Linked DNA regions of Stegostoma tigrinum. The protein of the gene in region 2 interacts with the protein of the main gene of each other region in a pairwise test. Links are inferred from orthologs where the notes say so. Each region holds a gene or a part of one and is shown on either strand. Other genes may lie near its edges.

Evidence for each region. The genes of interacting proteins can lie anywhere in the genome.
Region 1: the proteins of UPF0500 protein C1orf216 homolog (region 2) and rab effector MyRIP-like interact in binary tests that used the Homo sapiens proteins (3 or more experiments, as listed by UniProt). The two-hybrid records come from large-scale screens. The link is inferred for Stegostoma tigrinum from reciprocal best matches to the Homo sapiens genes C1orf216 and MYRIP.

The regions. Positions count from the first base shown.
Region 1 is NC_081355.1:9,733,048-9,742,998, reverse strand, and holds the start of rab effector MyRIP-like, read left to right. Parts: upstream 1-5,806; 5' UTR 5,807-6,079; intron 6,080-9,951. UniProt on the Homo sapiens protein: Rab effector protein involved in melanosome transport. Serves as link between melanosome-bound RAB27A and the motor proteins MYO5A and MYO7A. May link RAB27A-containing vesicles to actin filaments. Functions as a protein kinase A-anchoring protein (AKAP).
Region 2 is NC_081377.1:22,222,732-22,233,145, forward strand, and holds the start of UPF0500 protein C1orf216 homolog, read right to left. Parts: upstream 4,699-10,414; 5' UTR 4,210-4,698; intron 1-4,209.

The DNA.
Region 1 (9,951 bases), on a different chromosome or scaffold from region 2:
GATAGTGGAGATGTTAATCAGGGATCAGAGATGGAATCTTGTCCGCAGGTATTCACATTGCTTAGGGTAGCTGGGTTGGGGGATCGTTGGCTCAGGGTATTAGTTAGGTCAGGTTATTCAGATATAGTTAAATTTAGTCAGGGAGAGTGTAATTAGGTCCGAGGATAGAGGGGGATAATTCTTGGGGATATTCACAGTGCTGGGGGATAGTTGGGGATTTGGTGGGGCAGTTGGGTGGTCAGGGGAGTAGTTGGGGGTAAGACAAGGATGCTGGAGGGTCAGTGGGGGAATCCATCTGGGTTACGTAAATAACTGGGAGTTGTAACATATAAATCTTTGGAACATTTCCTGGGAGCTAACCCAGATAAGTGAATTAGAATCCAACAAAGTCTCTGATTCTATCTTGGAATTGGAGGCTTTTTCCAAAGGTTCGGGATGCAGGGCAATTGCCCATCAGAAGTTTAAACTTCCTGGCTATTTCCAACATAGCTACTATGTCAAGACATCTGAGAGTCCTGATGAAAATGTGGTAGGGACCTGGACAAGATCTGGGCTGTTATAATGTTACTGCCAAGGTCACAAACTCCTGCCTTGTTCAGATATGATCCACCACTAATTTCCAGATTTGCAATTTCAGGCAGTGAACCCATCAGAGTGGCATTGTGGCTCAGTGGTCAGCACTGCAGCCTCACAGCACCAGGGACCCAGGTTCAATTCAACCCTCAGGTGACTGTCTGTGTGGAGTTTGCAGATTCTCCTTATGTCTTCGTGGGTTTCCTCCAGGTGCTCCAGTTTCCTCCCACGGTCCAAAGATGTGCAGGCTAGGTGGATGGGCCATGCTAAATTGCCCATAGTGTTCAGATGTGTGTGGATTATAGGGGGATGGGTCTGGGTGAGGTGCTCCAAGGGGCAGTGTGGACTTGTTGGGCCGAAGGCCCTGTTTCCACACTGTAGAGAATCTGATCATTTTTTAAAAAAAAATCCAATCAATATGTCATGAATTAGCATGAATGGGGATGACTATATGTGCATGAAGGACATGAAATGTACGCACTATACATATCCATGAACAGCTGACTTCAAATCCACATTGGGATCATGTCACTAGAGGAAAGACTAACCACTTAAGTGATGAAGGTGCAAGTGGACAGGAATTACAGGCTTATAAACTGTATACAGGAGACAGCAATGAACATTCATAAATGGTTTGTGCAAAGTTTACATTCACCATTCTAGCTCAATGGAGACTACAAAGTCACAGAGTTAAGGATCAGCAGGTCTGGAACATCTGTGGAGAGAAATTCAAGTTGATGTTTCAGGTCAAGTGACCCTTCCTCAGAACTGTTCTGACTTCTGAGGAAGGCTCACTCAACCCGAAATGTCAACTGTGATTTCTCTCCACAGATGCTGCCAGATCTGCTGAGCTTTTCCAGCAATTTCTATTTTTGTTTCTGATTGACAACATCTACAGTTCTTTTGGTTTTTGTAGAATTTAGTTAAAGCATTAAAGTTAGATCATTATCTGGATAGGAAAATGTGCAGAGCTAAGAGAAAAAGGCAGGGGAGTAGCTCAAAGCATTTGGTTCCATTGAAGGGCCAGCACAAATAGAATAGGCCAAATGACTTCCTTCAGCTGTAACCATGCTATGATAGAGAATTATTGGGCATGGGTCTGAAGGAGCACTGTGAATGGTATTCTTGTTAAGGAAGGATGTGAATATGTTTGAGAGGGTTCAGAGGAGATTTATTAGATCGATACCTAGAATGAGTGAGTTGTCTCATGAGGATAGGTTGAACAAACTGGGGTTGAGAAGTGTGAGGAGTGGTTTGATAAAACACTGAATTGTCTTAACATGTGCGGAAAGGATGTTTGCTCTTGTGGCTGACTCCAGAAACAGGAGAGGCTGATGTAAAATTATGAATCACCTTTCTGGTACAGAGATGAGAAGAAATCTTTTCTCTCAGAGAGATGGTGATTTTGAAAATCTGTGCTGCAGAAGATGGTAGAGGTGGATTTATTGAATATTTTCAAGGCAAAGTTAAGATTCTTGTTAGGCAGGGGAACTGAAGGTTATCAGTGGTGGGAGGTGGTGGAGATGGGAATGTGGAATTCAAAACACAAACAGTTTGCCTGGAATTTTATGAAATGAAGGATCAGGCTTGAGAAGCTTTTATGGCCTATTTCTGCTCTGAAATGCATGATCTTATGTTTGTACGTGTGTTTCACTTAGAATCCATACAGTGCGGAAGCAGGCCATTTGGCCCATCGAGTCCACACTGACCCTCCAAAGAGCATTCCACCCAGACCCACCCCCTACCCCATCTCTGCTTTTCTCGCAACCTAGTCACTGTGGACAGTTTAGCGTGGCCAATCTATTTAATGTGCACATCTTTGGACTGTGGGAGGAAACTGGAGCACCCGGAGAGAACGTGCACAGACACGGGGAGAATGTGAAAACTCCACACAGACAGTCACCTGAGGGAGGGATCTAACCTGGTCCCTGGCGCTGAGAGGCAGCGGCGCTAACCACTGAGCCACCGTGCCGCCCACTTATTTGTATTTCACTTGAGGGAAGTTCAAAATGCCAAGAATTCATTACTTCCATGCCTTCAAACAGGCGAATACCTGAAAATACAGGATGACTTTGAACTGCTGGAGTTGAAGTTGAGGGAATAGAAAGTTGCAATGCCAATACATCGAGTGTATTTCCTTCAGGGGATGTGAGAAAGTGTAAAGTTTATTCACAGGCACCATGCTATGATTGTGACTCCATGAGCTAAGGTTGATTCACTCTTGGCAATCTCAGAAACCATTAGACTTGAGCTAGATTAACTTTGTACCACCCCGATGAGGATTCCATTAACACTTTGTGGCTAGTGGATGCCTATCGCACATTGTTACAACCATTTTTGAAGATTTATGATCTTCTTTCTCCTCCCGGCTCAAACCATTTATTTGCTACTGTAAGATAATAAAATGTGAGGCTGGATGAGCACAGCAGGCCAAGCGGCATCTCAGGAGCACAAAAGCTGATGTTTCGGGCCTAGACTCTTCATCAGATTTTCTAATGAAGGGTCTAGGCCCGAAACATCAGCCTTCCTGCTCCTCTGATGCTGCTTGGCCTGCTGTGCTCATCCAGCTCTACACCTTGTTACCTCAGATTCTCCAGCATCTGCAGTTCCTATTATCTGTGGACCATAAGGCGATTTGATTCCAGGCATCCAAACACTTGATCAAACAGCTGAATGCTTTTATTCCTCAATTCATTCATGGAAAGTAGGCATAACTAGCCGGACCAGCATTAATTGTCCATCCCTAATTATTCGTAGAGCAGTTAAGGATCAATCCCATTGCTGTGGGTTTGGAGTCACATGTAGGCCAGACTAGACAAGAATGGCAGTTTCCTTCCCTGAAGGGCATTAGTGAGCCTGATGGGTTTTTCTTGACAATCTAGAATGGACATCTTTAGAGTCTTAGTTTTCCTATATCGAATTCTAATTTCACCATCTACCACAGCAGGATTTGAACCTGGGTCCCTAGAATATTACCTTGGCCACGGGATTAATAGCCCAGTGATAATATCACTAGGCTATTGCCTCCCTTTCAAGGGACTGCTTCAATGAGGGAAGAGATGCAGCTACATTTAAAACCAAATTCCACATCCTAGGGCTTTGGTGGTAGAAGGTGCAACTGCTAACGGTCAAGCCAATAAACTTTGCAATGCTCAAAAGGCCAAAATCAAAGCAGATTACACAAAGGCTATGTGGGTCTGGGTGAGGTTAAAGAGTGCAGGAGGGTGTAAATTCAAGGAGGGATGAGAGGACAATGGTGCTGCATTTATTTGACCAGACTCCAGTGCAGGTCAAAGGGCTGGTGGGTGTTCAGGACAGAATACCAATTCAGACATAGATAGGAGAGTTGTGATCAGAGATAATGGGAACTGCAGATGCTGGAGAATCCAAGATAATAAAGTGTGAAGCTGGATGAACACAGCAGGCCAAGCAGCATCTCAGGAGCACAAAAGCTGACGTTTCGGGCCTAGACCCTTCATCAGACAATGCTCGTAACGTCAGCTTTTGTGCTCCTGAGATGCTGCTTGGCCTGCTGTGTTCACCCAGCTTCACACTTTGTTAGCATAGATAGGAGATTACTGGCTGGACTGAGTTTAGAGAAGGTGGGCATGTTACTGCACAGCCAGGTATCCAGCCTTTGTAATATGCCGAGTCTGGGGATCGCTACAGGACCAGGTTAGGGCAATGCTGAGTGGAAGCGCGCATTGTGCGCATTTTGCCAGTCCTGCTGCCCAAAATCCCCTTGTGGTGAAACTCTACCCCAGTGTCTCCTCAGGTAGTTCCTTGTGCTGTCAAGATATTGCTATTCTCTAGTCTCTGGGGTAGCTCCTGCTTGAGCTAAAGATAGCCTCTAGCACTCAAAGCAGAAAATTCTGAATGCTGGAAACCTGATGCAGGCACAGAAATGCTAGAGAGACTCTGCAGGTCCAGCAGCAATGTGGAGAGAGAAAGTTAATGTTTTGAGACCAGTATGACTTTCTTTTAGAACTCATCATGCTGGAAGCAGCAGAAATGAATGAGAGAGGTGGAAAGTGAGAATAAGAGGTACACTATTGGGGATCTGGGAGGCAGAGGAAGGGGTGGCAGCTGAAATGGGGGAAATGGGGTAAACACATTGGAGAGCTCATTCTACCACAAACCTGTCAATGTTCAAATTAGACTAATAATGGACATGAAATATGGGCCATTTCCCTGTCAACGATGCAGCCAGATCTGCTGAGTTTCTTCAGCGCTTTCTGCTCTGAATCGATGTGTGCTGCCACTGGACTAATATTGATGGAAAACAATGTCATTACTTGTGACATTTTTGATATATCTTCCCCCCACTGCAGGTAACACAGATTAATCATCTCATGCTAATGCCTTGTTTTCATTGCATCTTGTTTTGACCTTCCCTTAAGCAACTAATCAAAATATTGTTAACTTGATTCAAAGGTCACAGATGAATGACCTTCCTTCCAGAGACCTAGTGGGATGTCTGGGATAATAAAGCACAGGATTGCAGATGCTGAAACAGGCCATTTGGCCCATTAAGTTCATATCAACCCTCTGAATAGCATCCTACTCAGACCCACCCCACCTGTAACCTTCCATTTCCCATAGCTAATCCACCTTCCCTGCACATCCCTCAACAATCTGGGCAATTTAGCACTGCGAATCCACCCATCTTTGGACCATGGTAGGAGGCCAGAGAATCTGGAGAGAATCCATGCAGACATGGGGAGAATGTACAAACTCCATAGACAGTTGCCCGAGAGTGGAACTGACCCCAGATCCCTAGTGCTGTGAGGTAGCAGTGCTAAGCACTGAGCCACGGTGCCACCTTAGAAAATCTGAAACAAAAACACAGATGTCGCTGGAGAAGCTCAGCAAGGCTGGCTACATCTGTGAAGGGAGAAACAGAGTTAACATTTCGACTCCAGTGACCCTTCTTCAGCATGTCCAGGGGAATTTCACTACTCGTGCCTCTCTATTCTTCTTCCAGCCACTATTGGCTCAGGCTGAGGCTGACCGGAACCCCATTGGCTGTTAATGGGACCAGTAGCTCACTAGGTGCTGCCAGCCTGGCCAATGGCAGATGGGCATGGCTCTTGGCTGCGCTGAATGGGAGAGGCTGACCTCTGTGATTGGCTTAGTATGTTGCGGGGTGCGGCCCTCCTGCTCTTGATGGGCAGGTTGAGGATGTGGGCTCAGGCACATCTGGAAGAGTGGCAGCTTGTGCTAGGGGTTGTGATTGTGTACGCAATGCCAGGCTTGGTGTCTGGGCAGTTGCATGCCGCCTGCCTGTGGAAGGAGGGATGCTGGTTCTGTAGCTGCAGGAACAGGCAGGCAGACTGACTGAGCACACCCCCCCCCCCTCCCGTGCCTTTTTCTCCCCAGACTCTCCACCGGAGACACAGAGGGAGAGACATCACTGCTCATTTGAGATCCTGGGGATTTCGTGCCCGGCAAAAAAAATTGGTTTCAAAGTCCATCGTCCTGAGAAACTGCCACATTCTCGCAAAAGGTAGGTTGGGGAATATTTCCTTGGCTGTTGTCGGGAATTAGGTGTCAGCTCTCAGTTACACTGTACCAAATCCAGGGGTTTTGTTCGATCTGCAGAACCGTCGGCCACTGCCTCCGGGCTCTTCCTGGCAATTTTTTAAAAATTACGATCTGCAGGTATCACGCGTTCGACTTTTTAAAATTTAGATGCACAGCTGGCCTCAACTGCCTGGTGTATTTTCGCCTGAACCAACTTGCTGCAGATTGCATCCAACCGGGGAACGCTATTTGCAAACGTGTGCGATTCAGTGTAGGAAGCGTGTGGCTGCAAAGAGAGAGAGAGAGAGACCCGGGGAGAACAGCGTTACCGACCGGTTGCATCGCAAAGACCGGGCAGCGATCGGGGTGGAGTGCAGGGTGACCTGAGGGTTGACCTGGTCACACCAGATCCACCACAAACCGACCCTAAAGGTCACTCCCCCCCCCCCCGACACACAGCTCTAACACCCTCCCTCCCTTAGCTGGCCAATCTGTCCGGAGATTCCGGCACCGCGCGATTTCCCTGTCCTGGTCTGGAAGGGTTTGGATTTAAAAAAATGTTGATGGCAGGCTCGTGTTGCAGTTACGAACACTGTGCATCTTCTTGCGAAGAGGTGCGTGTCTTATCTATGACCGTGATATGTTTTCCTGAACCATGTTATTCCACTTCAATCTGGCTCATTGCAGAATGGCCCCATAGGGACACAGTCGAGTGGGGTTTTTTCTGTCTATTTAACATTCGGCAGAGTGTACTGATCGACCACATCAGTAAGAAGCGAATATTAGCAGATCCCAGGCATAAGTCTGTATTTGCAGTTATACACTGTGAATGTCCAGGCGATAGTTTGTTCCTTTTCCCAATCACTGGAAAACCCATGACTCGTTTTATGAATTCACGCAAGGCGGATCTAAGAGTTAAACCTGCAGTATCTCTTCTCCATTCATTTCAGTGATCAATTATTGCCTAAGTGTAGGTATTTCTTAAATCAACCTGTATACAAATATTATCACACACACACACACACACACACACACACCTTTGAAACTTGAACCTGAGCCTCTTAGCTCAGAGATAGGGGCACCACCACTACACCACAGGAATCCTTATGTCTAACAGTTGATAACAGATGAAGATGATAATCGAAGACTTACATACGTTACACTGTCCTTAATGCAACTCTGCTGTTACATAAGGATTCAGTGGGCTTTCACGAAGGGCTGAACTTGTGGGAAATCAGTGCCCATCTATTCTTAATTAAGATTGATTTCACTCCAATTTGTAAGTAAATGAAAATGCTTTTATTAACCATTATAACACTGTTAACATCTTCCCTTCGAGTGGTGCCTATGTTTAGTGAACTGAGTGCCATGCTTAACAGAAGCCTGTGCCAAAGTTAGTAGTTTATTGGTCAGTGGAGTCCGCTATGCTGGACTGGGTTACACATTGGTTCTCCTCCCTCGCCGCTATGGTTGGGGTCCAGATTGTAGCTCGATGGCCGACCGTAAAGCTGTGAATGAATGTCGGCAGGTTTAATTCAATTCGTCATTGAGAACGTGCAAAAACTGGACCTTAACTGAAATTAAGAGTGAACACTCTGTCTCACTGGTGCATTGAGGATGGTTTTTTTGTGTAGCTCAAGTTGATGCAGAATAAACCGAGCTTTGCTATATGTAACTCGAGAGGGCTTCATCCTGGCACTGTCAGAAACAGAGAAAGCGTTATCTACCATTCTAACAAAACCCAGCCCTTTTAAAAGTGAATTTGAATGGTCAATAGCCTTAATTTTCACTTAAGATGTATTTGCCAAGTGTTATTTGTTAGTTGAAAATTATTTTTCTGCAGATTTTTCTGCCCCACGCCACATGACAAAATGCATATTAATAATAAAGCGCAACTAAAATTCATTTTATACATCAGTAAACATCAACAATCTCAGATCTTTTAGTTAAATGTTGTAATGGAAACTTAGACTTCAAAATGTGTTCAAAATTCTCTTTGCTTCCTGTGTTACCTGAGGCCATATTGAACGATAGTTTAATTGATGTACTTACAGCCTTGTGCAAATCGCCTTTCTTTGCAGAAGGCTGTGAGTTTGCAGATTGATCTTAGCAAATAGTTAACTCTGTTAGCTGTGCCTCAGCATATAATGCTTGAATCTTTGTATCAGAACATCATGGAATAATGATGTGTTCCAAAGACTAACACAAATATACAGCTGATGGTGCAGTACTGGGGGAGTGCTGCCCTGTCTGGTGAATAAGTTGTTAAAACAAAGCCTTGCCTAATTTATTTTTGGGTGAATGGAAGAAGATCATATGATACTGCTTAAGTGAAAAGCAGGGACATTATCCCCCATGTCTTGGTAAGTATTTATTCCACCACAAGAGTAAAGACTGACTATTTGGGTCATTTCACATAGCTGTTTGAATCTACTGTGTCCAAACTGTTTGCTAAATTTTCGCCATTATTGCACAGGTTGTAAAGCATTTTTGGATATTCTGGAATCATAAAAGAATGCAGAATTTTTTTAGTCTAATTTGGATAACTTTATGGAAAATCAATACTATGATTGTGATAACTGTATATATTTTTGAATGCAAATTCTTGGCTTGTAATCAGAAATGGGCACCTGTAGATTTCTCTTCACTTCTTCCAGCCATAGAATAGGTGAACATTTATAGACCTCTCCTATCACATCATATGTGCCCAGGATATAACCAGGGATTAAAATTCTTCATCTCCATGATTGTGTGTACCATTCAGTGTGGTTACATTTTAAACCACTGGGAGATCCAAAGTGTAGAATCTTGAGATACTTACTTCTGTGCAAACAGATGGGAAAATGAATAAGCAGTAACATAAATAAGACAAAAATAAAACTTAGTTGCTGTGAAGTGAATGATTGATTGTGCTCAAATACAGATGGCACCTTGTTTTATATCTTGTCATCCATTCAAATATTTATAGGTAAGGTATTGTGAAAAATTACTAAAGCCGGTACAAGTTGCAATTTTTAAACTTTACGATTAATCATGATAGCTAAGAACAATGGTTTGACTGGGGGGTGATTATAGCCTCCTTTCTTTCAACTTTATTTGTTTTTACAATTAAGTAATTATGACAAAAGCCTCTTGGCAGGGAAGAAAATATGTGTGGAACTGTATTTATTCTTTTAAAAGCAACACTGTAGAACTGTAGTGTGGAAACCATTGCTAATTGTCAGGGAAAACCCACTTGGTTCATTCATGTCCTTTGTTTTAGAGCTGACAGATTTCTTTCCCTATGTGGTCTGGCCAACATGTGACTCCAGCCACACAGCGATATGGTTGCTTATTAGGGGTGGGCAATAAATACTAGTCCAGCTGGTGATGCTAAGACCATGAATTAATTTTTAAAAAATGCAACATTTTATGATGTCAGCAACTGTTCAGGTTACAGAATGACCAATGATCACAAAGTGCCCTAAGAATTACGACAGTCAAAGCATATCCCATTGAACTATCCTTCCCAGTGAAGGAAAATTACACTGGAATGGGAAGACGCCAGACAAGCAGATAATGGCAATGTAAATATGTATCATTAGGAGACCTGCATGATGTAAAGATTATGCACCGCATGTTCAGAAACTGATGAAAGTGGGACGGATGAGAATTAACATACTTTTGTTGATGAACGATAGTTTTCTTTGATCATGTATGTTAGCTTGTAGCTGCAGATGATAGGGCATGCGTTTCATTTCTGTTTCATGTTCCACATGAAAAGAGGATGATACTATCAATGCAACTTTTACAGTGATTTAATTTGTTTGCTGTAACTTGCTTTCTCTTTAGTTTGTGGCAGCCATGAAATGTTAT
Region 2 (10,414 bases):
TAATGCACAGCAGCTTGCTTCTTGTGTCGACAGCACCTCGGAAGAAATTAATACTCTTCTTCAGGCTGCAAATGCGTTGAGGCAGCAACATCTGCCACGTCCATCCCTGATTCTGAGATAGCTTCAATGCTTCTCAGAGAGGGAGAACCCATCAATTCTGAAACAGTCAGAAAGGCTGCCCAGGAGACGGGAACATTTTGCTCCCTGACTATTTGCGAGGTTGCAACCTTCATATGGTTGACATGCTTCTTCAGAGCTGTCACACTTAAGTTTATACATTATGGGACCTGACCTTACATTGAACATGCCTCATACCCATGCAAGGCCATTTCCCTGGCTTCATCGCCAAACTTGGTCCCCTGTAGTAAACTGTGTCTTTCGCTTAGTGGAGTCTTGTGTCTGGCATTGGCATTCCTGCTGCCGTTTCACCCTCCACTCTCAGGTCCAGGATGATCAGGTTCAACCTGGTCCAGAGTCTTCCCCCCCATTAGCAACTCTGCTGGAGCTATCCCTGTAATTGCATGAGAGGTGGTCCGGAAATCAAATAGCAACTGGGACAGTTGGGTATCGAGTGAAGCTGTAGGTTATTTCCTTAAGCCTTCCTTCAAAGTTTGGACTGCTCTTTCTGCCAGACCAATGGATGATTAGTGGTATGGAGCTGTCCTTACATGCAGAGAATTATTTGACTTGAGGAAATACTGAAATTTCCCTCTGATAAACGATGGCCCATTATCTGTGACCAATATATCTAGGAGCCCATGCATTGCAAAAGATGTGGGCGGTTTTTCTTTCATTGTCCCCTTGTTTGATGAATAAATTCTCTGCATGTCCAGCCACTTTGAGTGGGTGCCCACAATGACTAAGAACATTAAGCCACGAAAGCACCGACATAGTCGACGTGTAACTGAGTCCACGGTTTACCCAGTCATTCCTACGAATGTCGGGAAGCTGCTGGAGGTAATTTTTGTCCCTGTTGACACTCTGAGCACTTCCCCACCTCCACAGCTATGCCTGCATCCAATCTTGGCCACCAGGCATAACTTCTCGACAATATCTTTGTTTTGGAAATCCCTGGATGACACTGGTGGAGTTTAGATAATATGTGGCAGTGAACTTTGCTCCGAACATTAGCTCTTGTTCCCCATAATAATATGCCATTCTCTCCTGTGATCTGGTCTCTCCAAGTCCAAAAGCATTTCAATTCTGGTTGTGCCAGTCCTTTAGTTTCCCGCAATACCACCAGCTCTTTCAGTTTTGCCAGGACTATATCTTTCTGCGTTCAAGGTCTGATATTTCAGCTGTGACTGGAAGAGTGTCAAGAAAATTTAAAACCATTACAGACACTTCCAATTGAAGTACGACTGGCGGTGTATCTTCCAGCAGGAGGCAGATCTACACATCTGCCAATGTTACTTGGCCTCCCTGATGATGTTCCAACTTGTAATGACATGCACTTAGTATTAGAGCCCACCACTGAATTCAACCTGAAGCTAGGGGCAGCATTGCCTTGTCTTCTCTAAGTAGACCTGGTAGGGATATGTGGTCCGTTACTACAAATTTATGTCCGTAAAGGTTTTGGTGTAACTTCCTGACTCCAGGTATGACCACCAAACCTTCCTGCTCTATCTGGCGTATTTATGCCATACATTAACCAAAATCCTAGATGTATACAGTATTGGGCATTCCTTTCAATTGGGCCACCTGTAAGCTAATACTACCTCATGGCATATGGAGAGGCATTGCATGTCAATACCAGACCTCGCTTAGGATCATAGTGTGCCAACACCTTCGAAGATGATAGCTGTTTCTTTACTTCCTTGAAAGCTATGGCTTGTCTATGCAACCATTTCCAAAGCTGACTCTTTTTTAAGCATTGACGCAAAGGTGCCAGGATGGAGCCCAAGTTATGCACAAACTTTCCACGATAATTCACCGGCCCAATGAAAGACCTAAGCTCTAGTACAGACGTGGGAGCCGGGCATGTTTGTGCGCCCTCACTTTATTTTCTAACTCATGTAACCGGGTCTTGATGACTTTATAGCCCATTTGGGGTGCCTTGAATGCACATTTTTCCCTTCTAAAGCATTTGCCCATCTGTGATAAATGTCTTAGGACTATGTCCTAGTTCTCTAGTTGTTCTTTATTGGTTTTCCCTATTATTAGCACATCATCTAGGTAAATGTTGACATGGGTAAACATTGTAAAATGTTCCTCATCATCCACTGAAAACTTGCAGAGGCTGACGATATCCCAGATGGCAGTCTCATATATTATTACAAACCGACATGGGTACTAATTATAGCATACTCTAGGAATCCTCATCTAACCACAATTGCAAGCACGCATGGCTCATGTCCAGCTTTGTGAGGGACGGCCCTCCTGTAAGCTTTGTGTCTAAATCCTGTATGTGAGGGATTGGGCATATATCCAGCTTCAGTTGTAATGCCTGTCTGAAGTCCAGTTGGGCTTGAGTTAGTAGGCTACATCACCACTGAAATAACTCTACAGAAGCTGATACTTCGTCACTAATTCACCCCTTATTTACACACGGAGTGTCTTTGATACTGATCCAGCTCCGTCAGAGTCAGCTCTGAGAATGAATAGGATGTCTGACACTCATATTCTTACGTGTCAGCCAGGGTTCCCCGAATGGACTAGATTAACAGCTCTAATCAGGGAACTCATATTCTATGAGGTCCACCTGGCTGATCTTGTTACAATCACTACAGAAACCTCTTATAAGTTGTACCATTTGAGAAAGATGTGGTTCAGGTCAGCCATTTCGCAACTCAGTCAAACACAGTGTACAAAGGGAAGATTATTCCTCAATGAATTGAGAACATTTGAAAGATAAGGCATTATAGTTGAATTATCCCAGTTTATTTCTCTCTTATGATGAGTGCGTTCTCAAAAAACAAACTGAAATTGATGTTTATCTTTAATTGTCTTTTCAACAAACATCAATGGGTCTTTTTAAAATATATGTCTAAAAAGGCCCTATTTCTTAAACATCAAAAGGCAACAAGCATGCCATAATTTCTTTTAAATTCTGAATAGCTCATCACATGAATTATCAGTTCTGTCTGGCAACCCATTGGAATTTCAGATAATCTGTACTGGCTTTCATGGAAGTATGTCTCTATATGACCACGCTGAAGTCACTGGCTTGTGTTTAAATTGACCTTGTGCTTGTTTATTTCCAACCACGAATTCGCGCACACAATAACTCCTTCTGTAGAGGAATGGTGCTTGCAATTCAAAGTGGGCACACACTGTATATGATACAGTTGGGTTTAAGACTTGTTGCTTATTTTGCAACTGGGTTATTTAAACCGCACTGCTTTTGAACAGCAGCATGCTCCAGGGTAAATTACATTACTCCATAAACTCCTAAATTATGCATGTAATAACCTGTGAACAAATATAGTGACTCTTTAAGACAGAGAAGTTAAAACTAATAGAATGCAGTTGTCTGTGGGATGCAACATCATTGCTGTTTACTAATCAAGTTAATGCAAAAAAGTTGAATGCCTTAATGTCTCACAAGTAAACAATATGACTCTGCATGAACACGGTCTGTTCCTTTCCAATGTACTACCTGACAAGGATTGTTCCATTCAATAACTTTTGTTCTATTTAAATTTACAATTTAAAGTTTATGACATCACAGACTTAATTCAGGGAGATTGCAATCTTGACTTAGTTTGTTACAAAATATCATATAATCCAAGCATATTGCAAGGATAAATGGTATACCTTGCATTCTAGATCCTGAAGGGTACAGTCGCCTCCTAAAATAAGCATTTCATTCCTACAAGCTTTCTTTCTGTGTTGTTTGCAACAACTGACACAGGTTTCGAATTTTGAACCATTCTGCGATGCTTGTTCAGGAGGTGGACATCAACAGAAAATAGTTTAGGGTAAGGCCTTGAAAAATTAATCGAGGTCCATGTTAAAAGGGTGAGAGAGATTAGCAAGGTAAAGAAATGTTGCAGAAGATTTATATGGTGCAGGCATATGGAAACTTTGTGCCATCAATAATGAGTATAGGCATGGAATTAAACAATGTAACAAGAGGCTTTGTGAATTGTAATCACATTCTTCCCCTTCTTTACTCAATGTGATAATACAGATAATGTAACTGCAGTCTTCATTCCAAGAGAGCACAGATGTACTATCTGCACTGTGCAGCAATCAAGGTGGACTTACCTTTCTTTTCCCATAAAATGAAGCTACTCTCCTCTTCCTAGTTTGAACAGAAAGCTGCTCCTTTTCTTTCCCTTTACTTGGTTTTCAGCAACATTCCTTGCAACTTTCATACTGTGTGGCATTCTTTCTTCCATCAGAACACTCCAGTTTGTGTCTTGATAGTTCTGGATCATTGACAGCTTTTTGTGCCATAACAAAGCTTGGCAATAAACAGCTCACTATTTTCCTGTTTGGATTTGCAAGTTGCTTAATTGCCTGGTGGGCCTTCTGTATCTGTTTCCGTTACTGTTTCAATTTCAGCCAAATTTTGAAAGACTGCTTTAAAAAATAATCTGCACATACCTCCATTCACAATGTCACATTGTAACTTGCATGCACTCTGCGATGACACAATCAGGGTATCCACTAACCTTTCATGCGACTGATATTCCTTGACACTATTTTTAATGCATCGGTTAATGTGTTTGTGTCAAAATCCTAGGCACACGATTCACAATGCTGTCATTAGCCTGTTTACTGCAACCAGCGTTGAAAAAGTGCCACCGAATTTGTCACTAGCTTTTAGACACAGCTTCTATATTCCACACAGAGCAGCAGGAATGAAAAACAAAGAATGGAAAAATGAATAAATAAATGCATCAATAGAAGCCATTTGAGAATCCTACTGATACATCTAAAAGCCTTTCATTCCATCCCTATTTCTTTCTTCAGAAGCAATATATTTGATTCCATTTGTACGTTACAAATTGGTAGGTGTAAGAGAGCAAAACGAAACATGGATTAGCAAATACTATTTAAATATAAAAGATGTTTAGGTTAAAATAGAATTGGTTCTAGGACACAGGGTGCAGAATGTTTTTACATAACTGCAAAAGAAGGTAGAAAATGGTTAAGAAATTTCACTAGATGTTCAAACCTTGGAATTCAGCCTGAGAGCAAAAGTCCCAGAGGTCTTTGGGAAGTGTCAACTTCCTGTGCAAGCAGCACTAATGATGGAGAGATTAAAGTAAAAGCTTGATTCCAGAACTCTCAGGAGACAAAGCAGACACTTTGAGAGCTGCAATCAAAAGGAACTCATTCTGAGATCAAAGCTGCCCAGACCTTGATCTTGGTGAGGTTTCTGCCAGGACTCTTAATTCTACCCTGCAGAACTGCATAGAATTCAATTCTCTCACCACTCTAAAGAGAAATCATTGACTGTACTATGATTTTTCTGGTGTTTAGGAATGGCAACATCCAGTGATTGTTTTATATTATTGCACATACAAAGTTAGGAAATTATATTTCAACCAGTGTTTGGGGAAAGTACACCAGTGAAACCCTGAAATAATGCCCACTCCTTGTGAAAATGTCACAGTACTGAATTAGGAAATGGATTAAAACAAGCAACTCAGCTGGTGGTGATGACACCATAAACTGTTAAAAGAATTAATTTTATTTATATAGCACCATTTACAATCTTAGAAATTTCCAGGCTGCATAACAGTCGATGAAGTGTTTTTAAATATAGTGACTGTTATATTATAGGGAAATGCGGCCATTCATTTACATGCAGCAAGCTCTCACAAACATCGAGGTACTAACAAGATCTGTTTCAGTAATGTGGGTAGAGGGATAACAATTGGCCAGAAAGCCAGTAAGAATATCCCCACTGCTCTGTGAAATAGTGCCATGAAATTTTTGTCAAGCAGGTAAGTGGCAAACAGAGCCTCAATTTAACACCACTAGTCAGTATGTCAGACTGTTCAGTGCTCCCTCTGTATACATTTCAGTGTCAGCTTTAATTATTTGTTCATTCCTCTGGTGAGATTTGAACTTACAACCTCCTGAGACTAAATTGTTCCTGACCCAAGGTTGGCACTTCGAGCTAGACCTAAAATTTTGAATTATAGCATGCTTAACTGCCTATTTACTAAACCATATAAAGTATTGATTCTTTTACTTTAAAAAGATGTGAATACTGTTTTGATCAAATTTATGGGTAAATTGCATTGACAATGGAATTTATCATGACCAGATAAAACGGGGTTCATTAGCTCCACACTTTTCAAGTCCCTTGCAACAAATATTTTTTATTCCATTCAACATGCATCACACTTCAATTAAAACATGGGTAATCATCAAAATTAACAACATTTCCTTTAGTGGAAGAAAGAAGGGTTTTATTACTTACTAGCCCGAAGTAAAATAATATATAACGTCACTACACAACATAAATATAAGCATAAAGTTGTAAAAAGAGAAAGGGCCTGGTAGGATAAAAGAACATGCAACTTACAGAGCTGTTTAGCTGATGCCTTGTATCTACAGCAATATTGAAATGTGCAGATGAATTCCTGATGAATGAGTGTTTCTGTGCTTCTGTGCATACTCTGTCACTGGTGTTAGCTTTTGAGATTTGGGCAGAATCATCCTAGCCCCTAATCAATGTGGGCCATGAAAAGAAGGCTAGGAAATTCAGGTGAGATGGCCAACCAAGAGCTTAGCCCCATTGCCAACCAGGTGTTGAAGGGCGAGACAAGATTCTCACTATTGAGCAGCGAGAGACCGATTTGTATGCATTAACATCCTCATTAAGATGTCATCTCACCTTACTGACACGAAACTTCCCCATTCTCCCACCCTCCATACTGCCACTAGACAGCGACAATTCCTGTCATGAAAGTCAGCGTGGTAACCCAGCAACTCTAGCTCACCACATTCTCCTCTAGACCTGCATCAGTCACCAACATCTCAGGCATGCTCCAGGACACACCTCCCCCAATGTTTAACGGGACCTCCAGGCCCTCATTAGCAAAGCAGGGTACCATAAGCCCTCACACCATAGAGTTTGTTCACATAGCAGCAAAGACGACACTTAGAAATTAGCCGACTGTGAAATATTTTAGCAGTGGTCGAGAATCTGAATGGCATTATAAATGCAAGATCTTTCCTCTGTCTATGCTAATGGATCTAAACTTGTTCTGATTACTGCCAAAAGCTGCATTCATGGAGTAGCTGTACAGTGTAATGATGTTGTATATATTCTGTTTGGTAGACCAAAAGTCTCTCAAGTTTTGACAAATATTCAGGTATAGTTTAATTTTGACTTTTTATTTGTCAGTATGTGACTTTGATGACCATTTGACTAGTCTCTAGTCTGTTTCACACCATATTCATGCAAGAACACCTGGTACATTTGTACTTTTTGTAAGTGGCATGTTGGTAAGCTAATAAATACAAACTTGTATACTTTACAGGATTAGCATTTTGAAAATGTAATTTATTTATTTCAGTTACTGAATGGCTTTCTTTGGAATGTGGAGCAACGGTTCCCAAATTAATTTAATTTGGTTTAGTTTATACTATGACTGGTTTAGTTTATATTATGAGTGAGATATCTGTTACTGACCCACCCCAAGAAAATATTGTTAATGGTCAGTTTACACTGTTGTAACAGCTTTTTGAAGATGCATTGAAATTGTGTAATCAGCATAGGACTTGGAGTGCATCCCTTGTTTAAATTCAACCCGATCAATGCTGAAAGCCTCGTTTCTCTAATAACTCTAAGCGTGCTTTATTAAATGATTTGTGAAATTGCAACCAAGTCTCGATGGCCGTCCGTCAATGGAATAAAGCCTTCCATAAATTGATGGATGCCATTCAGGATTGCTGCATGAAATTAAATGAGTGAAGTAGAAGGTGTTCATTTGACATTAAAGTGCATCCTTGCAGCAAAGCCAAAGGTCTGAATCTGTCTGTATCTTTGATGCCCATTTGTCTTTGTCTATTCAATATGAAATGGCTCGTTTGGTGATTGTAAATCTTCACTCGACAATCTTAAACTAAAATAGGAACTGATAGGCTTGCTAATGCTCAGAAAAAAATTTTAAAAAGGGATAACATTTTGGGCAGTGTCGCAAAAAATGAAAGAGAGTATTGTGATACAATCAATCAAAAGGAGAATAGGGGAGTGGGGAAGGAAGAAAGCTTGAATAAAGCACCCAGAGAGATTGTTAATAGGTGAGCTGTGGGAAATGTGCAAGAAATAACAAATATTATTTAGGAGTCTTTTTCAAATACAAGGAAAGATGATCAGAAAAAAATTATGGGTATGAAGAGTTAATCTAATAATAGACACCATTGAGAAAAGGTAAGAGGTGATGGAAAATTAAAGAGTGTGAACGTTTCCAAATGGAACTTAGAATCATTCCTTTCAGTCAGGCTGGCCTCCCATCTATCTGCTTCTTTCCAGTTGATCTTCCTTTTCATCCTCAACCAGTGTTACACTGCCCCCAGTTTAGGGCAGTAATTGTGGTGACAATTTGCTGTTGATCCTGCTGGTGAGATTCATGCATCTCTGGATGAGACGTTGTAAAATATCCTCACAACTGGAGGGAAGAAAAAATTCCAGCAGTACTATTTCATTCTTGGACACTTGCTCAGCTCTTCAGAAATAATGACTGGTGTATGAAAATGTGTAGCCACCTTGAAAGAGCCCAAACGCTAGCCTTGACATCACTGCTGCAAAACCCTGCTGAATCCGGGAAGGTGACAGCCTAGTGGTGTTATCACAGGACTGTTAATCCAGAGACCCAGGCAACGTCCTGGGGACCTGTGCTCAAATCTTGCCATAAGAATCTAAGAAGTAGGAGTGGAGGGAAGCCATCTGGCCCATTGAGCCTGCTCCACCATTCAGTAAGATCATGGCTGATCTTTTTGTGAACTCAACTCTACTTCCCTGTCACCATAGCCTTTAATTTCATAACTGTTCAAAAATCTATCCGATCTTGCCTTAAAAACATTCAACAAGTTAGCCCCAAATGCCATGACACATAATTTGAGTTCACTTTAAAAAAATTGAGAATTAAAAGTCTAATGATGACCATGAGTCCATTATCAATAGTCAGAAAAACCCATCTGGTTCACGAATGTCTCCTAAGGATGTCCCATCCTTCCTTGATCTGACTGACATGTGATTCCAGACTCTGAAGGAGATAGCTGGAGGCGTTAGTGTGACCTTTCAGGAATCGCTGGAGTCAAGGAGGATCCCAGTTTAAGAACGGAGTAAGGCAAAAGACGGTAAGCCAGTTAGCCTGGCCTCAGTCATTGGTAAGATTTTAGAGTCCTTCGTAAAGGATGAGATTTCAGAATACTTGGAAGTGCTTGCCAAAATAGGGCAAAGTCAGCAATGGTTTCATCAAGGGGAGGTCATGCCTGATAAATCTGGTAGAATTCTTTGAGGCGATAATGAACAGGTTGGACCAAGCAAAGCTGATGGATGTTATCTACTTGGGCTTCAAGAACGCCTTTGACAAGATGCTGCACAGAAGGCTGCTGAGTGAGATAAGGGCCCATGGTGTTAGAGGCAAGGTACTAGCATGGATAGAAGATTGGCTATCTGGTAGAAAGCAGAGAGTGGGGATAAAAAGGTCGTTCTCAGATGGCAGCTGGTGACTAGTGATGCTCCACAAGGGTCAGTGTTGAGACCACAACTTTTCACTTTATACATTAATGATCTAGCTGAATGAACTGAGGGCATCTGGCTAAGTTTGTAGATGATAGAAATATAGGTCATATTGAAGAGGTGCGGAGGCTGCAGAAAGATTTGGACAGTTAGGAAAGTGGACAAAAAGAAAGTGGCAGATGGAATATAACATGGGAAAACATGGGAAAATGTGAGGTCTCACAGCTTGGTAGGAAGAATAAAGGCATACACTATTTTCTAAATGGCAACAAATTCAGAAATCTGAAGTGCAAACGGACTCAGGAGTCGTATTCCAAGGTTCCGTTAAGGTTAACTTGCAGGCTGGATCAGTAGTTAGGAAGGTAAATACAAAGTTGGCGTTTATTTCAAGAGGAATAGAATATAAAAACAGGGATTGTACTTTAGAGGCTTTATAAAGCTCTGTTCAGACCATGTTTAGAATATTGTGTGCACTTTTGTGCCCCATATCCTAGGAAGGATTTAATGGCCGTGGATCAGGTCCAGAGGAGGTTCATGAGAACACAGCACGATGTCTCAGTGGTTAGCACTGCTGCCTCACAGCGCCAGGGACCTGGGTTCTATTCCACCCTCAAGCGTCTATCTGTGTGGAGTTTGCACATTCTCCTCGTGTTTGCATGGGTTTTCTCCGGGTGCTCGAAAGATGTGCAGGCTAATTGGCCATACTAAATTGTCCATAGAGTTCAGGAATGTGTAGGTTAGGTGTGTTAGCCATGGTAA